Linked DNA regions of Drosophila melanogaster. The protein of the gene in region 1 interacts with the protein of each later gene in a pairwise test. Each region holds a gene or a part of one and is shown in the gene's direction. Other genes may lie near its edges.

Region 1 (4,503 bases):
GGTTACCTTTTGGTGAACAAGTTTCAATTTGTACCGTAGAAATTTGTACTGTAAAAGATGTGTTTTGTTTCTCCTGCAGTTCGCAACTGTCGCGAGCGATGGCGCACCATAAGGAGCAGCTTCCTGCGATCCCTGAAGCTGGCACGCACACAAACGGGACGCGGCAAGCGCAAATACTACCTATCGAAGTATCTTCAGTTTCTCGTTCCGTTCACCAAGTCGCGATCCTGCCACAAGCAGCTGCCGGGCATGGTGCTCCGCAAACCCGGCCAAGCTGCCACTGCTCAGCAGGAAGATGAGGTGGTGGCGGCGGAGGAGGAGGCCAAGGTGAGCGATGGTGAGATGCCGCTGGACGTTCAGGTGTCCGAGGAGGAGCATCGTCGTAATCAGGAACAGGATCGGGAGCAACCCACCGCCTGTTTGCCGCTCCGCCTGCATTCCATCAAAGTGGAGCACGATTCGTCAAATGCGAACCAGCAGCTGGAGCGGATGGTGAGCCAGCAGTCGCTGGTCTCGGTGCCCGCCGCCGCGCTGGGCAATCACCTGGGCTGGTCGGATCTGACGCAGTGGTTCAAGGGACATGGCAGCGGTCATCACAAGTTAACCACAACAACAACAACACCAACATCACCACCACCGCCGCCGCAGCCGGCTACGTCAGCTCTAAGTGTTTTCACTGGCGGACCAGGAGGAGGTGGCTCACAACCGGATGCCGACTACTCCTTTCTGATCAGCCTGCATCCGTACATCAAGGAGATGAACGGCAAGCAGAATCGAAAGTTTCGACAGAAGGTCGTCGGACTCATCGACGATATTCTGGATAACAAGGATGTCTAATTTGTACACGGAAAAAAAACCGAAGATGCTTACGTTTCAGCGATGAAAATTACGATTTGTAAACGGCTCTATCAAAATTACCACACACAAGAGATGCATATTTTGAATGATTGTGCGGAAATATTCTACATACCAAATGCAACATTATTTCAAAACCAACATTTTCACCACTTTCAGATTTCATTCTGGCCATCATATTGCTAACTTTTAGACAATGAACTTAGTTTTTAAATATTTATGTCTAAGTTAAGTGTGAACGTACATGAAATTTATATCGAAGTTTATATGCACTGCATCGAAATTTGTAAAGCGCCCAGTGGAACAGGATGAAATCACCAGTTATGTGATATTTTCTCTCCGTGAAGAAAAAAAGCCACAAGAATCGAAGAAAACACACCCAGTTGATAGAAAACGCCAACAGTGCCCATTTATTAGATGTGTAGAGCGTACTTTAATTACGCTTTTTATTGTTGTTGTTAAGCACACACACAAACACGAATTTGTTATTGTCGAATAAAACATTTAAACTACGAACATTTTATTTTACTTCAGACGGAACAGAAACAAAATTTGCGTATATATGTCGCATTTGCTGGCGATATGCGAAATTGCGGATTAAAATCAAAACGAAACTTTCAAAATTATTTAATGTATAAATTTCTAGCTTTTTTTTTGAATTTCTAGCTAGCCAACCGCCTTAATCGAGTGCAATCGATAGATTCAGCGCACAGCTGATGCACCGATAGTACGCAAAGCTTCCTGGCTTTGTTGTTGTTGTTGTCGCCGTTCGCTTGTTGTTGCACTAAAAAGACGAAAAAAGGAAGGAAAATCACTGGCGCGGAATAACAATTAACAAAATGGAATAATTGCATTGCTGTCGCCGTAACTCATCAGTTAAATGTGCGCCAGTAAACAGTCGATGCAGCAACGAAACACATGAGCTATTGGGTGAGCTATGCGCGTGTGTGCGTGCGCCATGTGTTTGGCCTGCATGCGTGTGTGTGCGTGTGCGTGTGAGGGCCTGAGGTTTTGGCTTTATATCACTTTTTTTTTGTTTTTGCTGACTTTTCCGATACGAAAGTGATGTAATTTTTGGCTGGCCACAAATAAGCCAACTCACTCGCACGTCAACCGCCGAAGCATTTACCACGCTCATCGCACAGTTAAAGTTTGTTTATGGGCCTAGAAAATTACATAAAGTAAATACTTACACACACACACACACACGCAAAAAAAAGATATTTTTCGGCGAAAGTTTTTTTTATGTTTTATTTATTGAGTGCTAATAGTTGCTCTTTTGACTTTAACAGCGTGTGACGTCATCGTTTTTGCTAGCCAGGGCACGGCCACGCCTCCCACAAACATTACGCCCACTGAGCACCATGAACGAATGCCGGAAGAACATCACAAACATCACAAACATTACAGCGAACAACAGCATTCTATGCGCAAAGAGCATTAGCAAAAAGCATTTGTTTCTAGAGAAACGGAGCATGTCGGATCGTTCGGAGAACTCCAAGGATGTGGCAAAGGGACAGGATATATCAAATCCAATGGAACTAACAGCCGAGGATCGACTGGCCATTGAGGAGCGGCAAAATAAAGCGTTCGCCTTCTTCGCCGAAACCCTGCAAATCTACGGCGTCGAGGAGCTAATTTTCTGTTTCAACGGCGGCAAGGATTGCACCGTGCTGCTCGATCTCCTTATGCGTTACCTGCGCCAGGAGAACATCTCCAGCGGCGACATTCCCATGCTGTACATTAAATCCGGCGATTCGTTTCCGGAAATCGATGAGTTCGTCGAGCGTTGCGTACGCAACTACCGCGTCCAGTTGGTTCAGTACGAGGGTACGCTCAAGGAGGCACTCACCCACATGTCGTCGGACATGCCGCGGATCAAGGCCGTCTTCGTGGGCAGCCGCAACACGGATCCCTACTGCCAGCATCTGGCGCCCATGCAGGTGAAGCTGGTTAGGAATATAGCAATCAGGAGATAAATCATATTTAAATGTTTTGCACTGAAATGCTCAGGAGTTCGTAGGTTCAAGTGTGAAGAAAAGTTTCTTTCTCAAGAGTAGTAGATTGATTATAAAGCCAAGTTATCAAAGTCACAGCCTTAGTATCAAAATTATGCCATTGTTAATCTAGAAAAGTATGTGCCCTTTGCCAATATCACAGTGACAGTGGCATTTTCGAATGTCATGATTCCATTCCGCAGATAAGCGAGTTCTGTGGTTCACCACCTAACATAGAATTTATTCGAGTATTTTACAAAACCAAATGTATCCCGCTTATTTGAAAATCTCACAAGATCACAAAGATAATAATGAAGCTAGCTTGAAATAGTTTTGGAAAGTTCGAAACTGCTGTTTCCTATTAGGAAACCCCAAGTGCCTAGTGATGCTAATTTCGATTTTTTTTTTAGCCCACGGACAACGACTGGCCGCCGATGATGCGCCTGAATCCGCTGCTGGAGTGGAGCTACCACGACGTCTGGCACTACATCCACTTGAACTCGGTGCCCTATTGCAGCCTGTACGATCGGGGCTACACCTCGATCGGGAATCGTGCGAACACAGTGCCTAATCCGCACCTCCGACGCACCGATGCCGAGTGTGAATGTGGTTCTAATTCCGATGCCGTCTGCTCCTGCGATCTGGGTGGCTATCGGCCCGCCTGGGAGCTCCAGGATGCCACCATGGAGCGTGCTGGTCGCCTGCCCAGGAAGTAGGATTCCATTTGCGTGGCTATAGTGTAATTGAATAGCTTAAACTCCAGTTAGTCACGAAACTTTATATAGCTGTGTATATATATTAACGTGTGATCTGGATTTCGGTAAACAAACTTAATTTAGTAAAATTTTGTACGACCTAAGGTATGCCGCTGAATAAATGTGGCCTCTGTTAGCAGGCCACTTAAGCAGTATTCCTAGTTTTTATGGAGTATTTAAATTTTTAGTTGTTTAGTTGTTGAATGTTTCTTTCTAATTTTGCATAAAAGCTGAAGCAAGCTAAAAGAGCCAAAGAAACAGCACTGGCTTCAGTGCAAAATCTAGTGCTGCAGCAAGCTGGCTTTTAAAAGCTAGAAAAAGCTCAAGATGCCATGGTGCCACTGTTAAAACGCCAGCATGGCAGCACTAGATGGCCAGTCAGCTGTTTTGCCAGCTGATTTTCGCCGCATTTTCACAACATTACGCGATTCTTTGAACTTTTTTTGCTGTGATATTTTTACGAGATTTACGTAATCCTACGCGCCGATCATCACCAGCGAATCACCCACGCGAGAGCAGTGCACAATAAACCAGTATTTCCTCGCTCCGCGATGTCGCGATCCGCACAAGAAGCTGCGGCGCTGCTGCGGGGACTGCGGATCTTGTTGGAGGCGTGTGGGCGCGAGCATCTCGCCCACGGTCGTCATCTGTGGAGCAATTCAAGCATTCGTGAGCTAATCGCCGAGAATGTGGCGCACACACAGCAGCTGGTGAGAAGTTCCAGTCAAAATCCCACCGAGGAGCTGAAAAAACTGCAGCAAACTGTAAAAGAAACGGGCGAAAGGGGCTACGTGGTGGCCAAAGGTATTTGCTCGCTGCTGGAGACGAAAATCAAGATGTCCCGCGAGGAATCGGCCATCTCTGAGCCTGCACAAGTCTCCTCAATTCGTAAATCC
Region 2 (3,065 bases), on another chromosome or scaffold:
TGATCAAATAATAAAAACATCAAATATTGGTCTCAAAAAAAAAAAAAAAAAAAAAATTATGACCGTAATACTGTCAAAAACAAGCACACAATAATTATAATGATGATCAAATAAAACTGGAAATTAGCCCAAAGTGTGTTAAGTCAAGCGAGGAATCCGAACAAAGGAACTACAGCCAGCACTGGAGGCAAAAAGTGACAGTAAAATTGGCTCGAAGACAGCGGCTAATGAGCGTGCGATAGGAATAAAGGAGTAGAATGGGGCCAAAAACCCAAGAAACTCAAGTTGGCTAAAAGGCAAAGATATCGCAGTACTAGTCAAATACGAGAATACTGAGAGAGCATTTTGCGATGGGCTTGTGGCAAGACTAAGCGTCTTACTGGCAAATTGGGAACGGGGTAAGAGGAAAAGCCGAAAGCTAAACAAAGACGGCCAACGCAGATGGCAAAAAGGAAAAACTCAATTGCCGCACAAACCGAGCCGCCATTGTTTTCTTAATTGAGTGTCTTTTGCTAGTGTGTCTGTGTGCCAGTATGTTTGCTCATACATATATGGGGTATCTGTGTGCCAGGACACTATGCTCATTGCCGCCTATCTGCCGGCAGAGTTCGCTTATCAATTACATTGAATTTACCCAGGCAGAAATGGCTTTTAGCCATTCTAGGCACCACCCCCTGCAATCAATATTTGCCGGAAGTGATGGCATAGGCAGTCACATTGACTTTTGCGCCGACTGCTCACCTCTCCACTTCCTGTGCTTCCGATTTGACGCTGATTTCACAACTCGCCGCACGGAAATTGCCCGGCCCCCCATTTACGGCTTCAGTAAACAACCGCACCTCACGTTTCTTGACCACCCCTCCACTCCATTTCGATTTTCGAATCTTCACTGTACTGCAGTTGACGAAGGCGCACATTTTATGTATGTATTTGCCGTGAATCTCCAACTCCATCCTACTTCATAAGTCGCCTGATTTATTCCGGCCACGTAGCACTCACTGCACAGTTTGATTGCCACATTCGCATGTAAATGCTGGCCTCTAAAAAGTATTCAAACCAAGCGACCCAATCCCACAAATCTGTCCCACGTCATCGCGCATAATCGAGCTTTTAATTTCGGGTAATAAAACTTTGCCGATTTAATATCAGGTACGTGGCGCCTTCATTCTACAAAAGAAAGCCATAAAATGTGGAACTGACTTCGAGGGAAGCCATAAACTTATGTTTTTCAATGAAGGATAAATAAGAAAAATAACTAGTTGTTACACCTTTCAAATTTTTAAAGCATATTCCCCAATTTATTGTCAAGTGATTCATCAACGATTTCTGTGGCCTGCAAAGTTTGCCTTGAAAGGCAAAAGATTTTGTTCATTAAACAACGTGATACACGAAACCAAACTGAAAAAAACTTTGTTCTACGAGTATTTCAAACTTTTCGCCAAGTTTACGCATAATTTTTTACGATATTTTCCGCAGTTTTTCCTTTTGACGGCTCATCTTATTCTTATTGTTGTTCGAAAGGACTTACCCAGCATCCAGGGATCTCTAATAGATTTCCGGCAAACAATTTTATTCACTTTCTGCTATTGAATTTGGTATTATTAATGCCGCATTTCCTAAGCTGTGGGCATTAAGTATATGGCTAACTTTTCTACTTCAGGATATTAAACGAATTCATTACAATATTTTTCATAATTTTATTTCTTTTGGCAAGAAGATATTAAAGTAGACCAGCATTTAAAAGAAAACTTGTCTGCACAGAAAACTACGTTTTGTTGAGTAGCAACTGTAGATAAAAAGTTACGAAAATGTTTTTCGCTCTGACATTGCTGTCAAAACTCATCAAAAAAATACTATTTGAACATTTAAAAATATAAAATGGATTCAGATGCCGATGGTGGCGAGACCGTTTCGAATTTCTCTGAAAATTCGACGGATTTTGAAGAAACTGAGGAGTATATTGTAGAGAGGATTTTGGATCGAAGGCATTATATGGGCCAATTACAATACTTGGTCAAATGGCTGGATTATAGCGATGAAGATAATACCTGGGAATCGGCAGCAGATCTCGATTGCCATTCACTTATTGATTCGATTGAATCACAAAAAAGTCTGAAGAGGGGTCAAGAGCTGAATAATCAATATGAAACTAAAGCTAAACGACTGAAAATCGATCCATGTCTAGTAGTAGATAGTCCTTTTAATCATGGTTTCACTGCACAAGAGATTCTAAAAGGCGCTAAAAACAATGGTGAAATATCGTTTTTAATTAGGTTTTGGCATCTCGATCAACCACAAGTGGTGCCAAGTGGAATTGCATATGTGGAAATACCGCAGATGGTTCTGAAATTCTATGAAAATCATTGCAATTTTCACGATTATTTAAATAATTATATATCATGACTTGCAATTCTGGATCTTCAAAAAAAAAAAACTTATGAATATGTGTGTGAGCTTCTTATATTTTATATGTTAGGTTAAATTGCTTTACTTTTTATAATAAAAGGTGTCCCTTTGCACAGCATTACAAACAATAATGAAGGCAAAATGCCAAGTTTTAAGTGATTTTTGGGGCGTGTTTGCCCGACAGGCAGCGTAAACACTCTTAATTGCAACAACAGTGCCGGCAAACAAGGGCCAGGAATGTACGACGGCCAAAATGAAGCGAAAATATTTGCATTCCGTTTTTGTGGCCATTCCCTTGTCTCATCGCAAGTACCAAAAGTCGTAAGACCTATTCTCTGTTTTTGGCTGATGGGGCGTGGTGGCCGGACGTACTTTTGCCCTATATATTCGTGTTTGTTTTTCGTCACTTGGGTCCTTTTTTTTGGAGGGGGGGGGGGGGGGCTCTGGTGCTACCCAGTTGCGTCCAGTGGGCACGTAGCCACAATAGCAGCAAAAAGGTTTCGTTTAAGCCTTCTGCACTTTTGCCGAGAATTGATACTGCAATATCCGGTCGAGCAAGTTCAACTCCAATCAATTGCTCTTCGATATTGGTAAGTTTTTGTCGGCGGTAAAAGAAACTAAGACCTATTTGAATTTATAGGCACACGCTTGATTCAACT

The links.
Region 2: the proteins of Flad1 (region 1) and HP1e interact in a two-hybrid assay, tested with the Drosophila melanogaster proteins (one large-scale study listed by BioGRID).

What each region holds. Positions count from the first base shown.
Region 1 is NC_004354.4:12,900,611-12,905,113, reverse strand, and holds Flad1 (flavin adenine dinucleotide synthetase 1), read left to right. Parts: upstream 1-1,597; 5' UTR 1,598-1,773; coding exon 1,774-1,785; intron 1,786-1,951; exon of another isoform or gene 1,952-2,036; intron 2,037-2,147; coding exon 2,148-2,798; intron 2,799-3,262; coding exon 3,263-3,568; 3' UTR 3,569-3,761; downstream 3,762-4,503. Other genes in the region: CG4404 (uncharacterized protein), read left to right, coding at 80-837; Coq8 (coenzyme Q8), read left to right, coding at 4,159-4,503.
Region 2 is NT_033777.3:9,319,948-9,323,012, forward strand, and holds HP1e (heterochromatin protein 1e), read left to right. Parts: upstream 1-1,822; 5' UTR 1,823-1,878; coding exon 1,879-2,403; 3' UTR 2,404-2,414; downstream 2,415-3,065.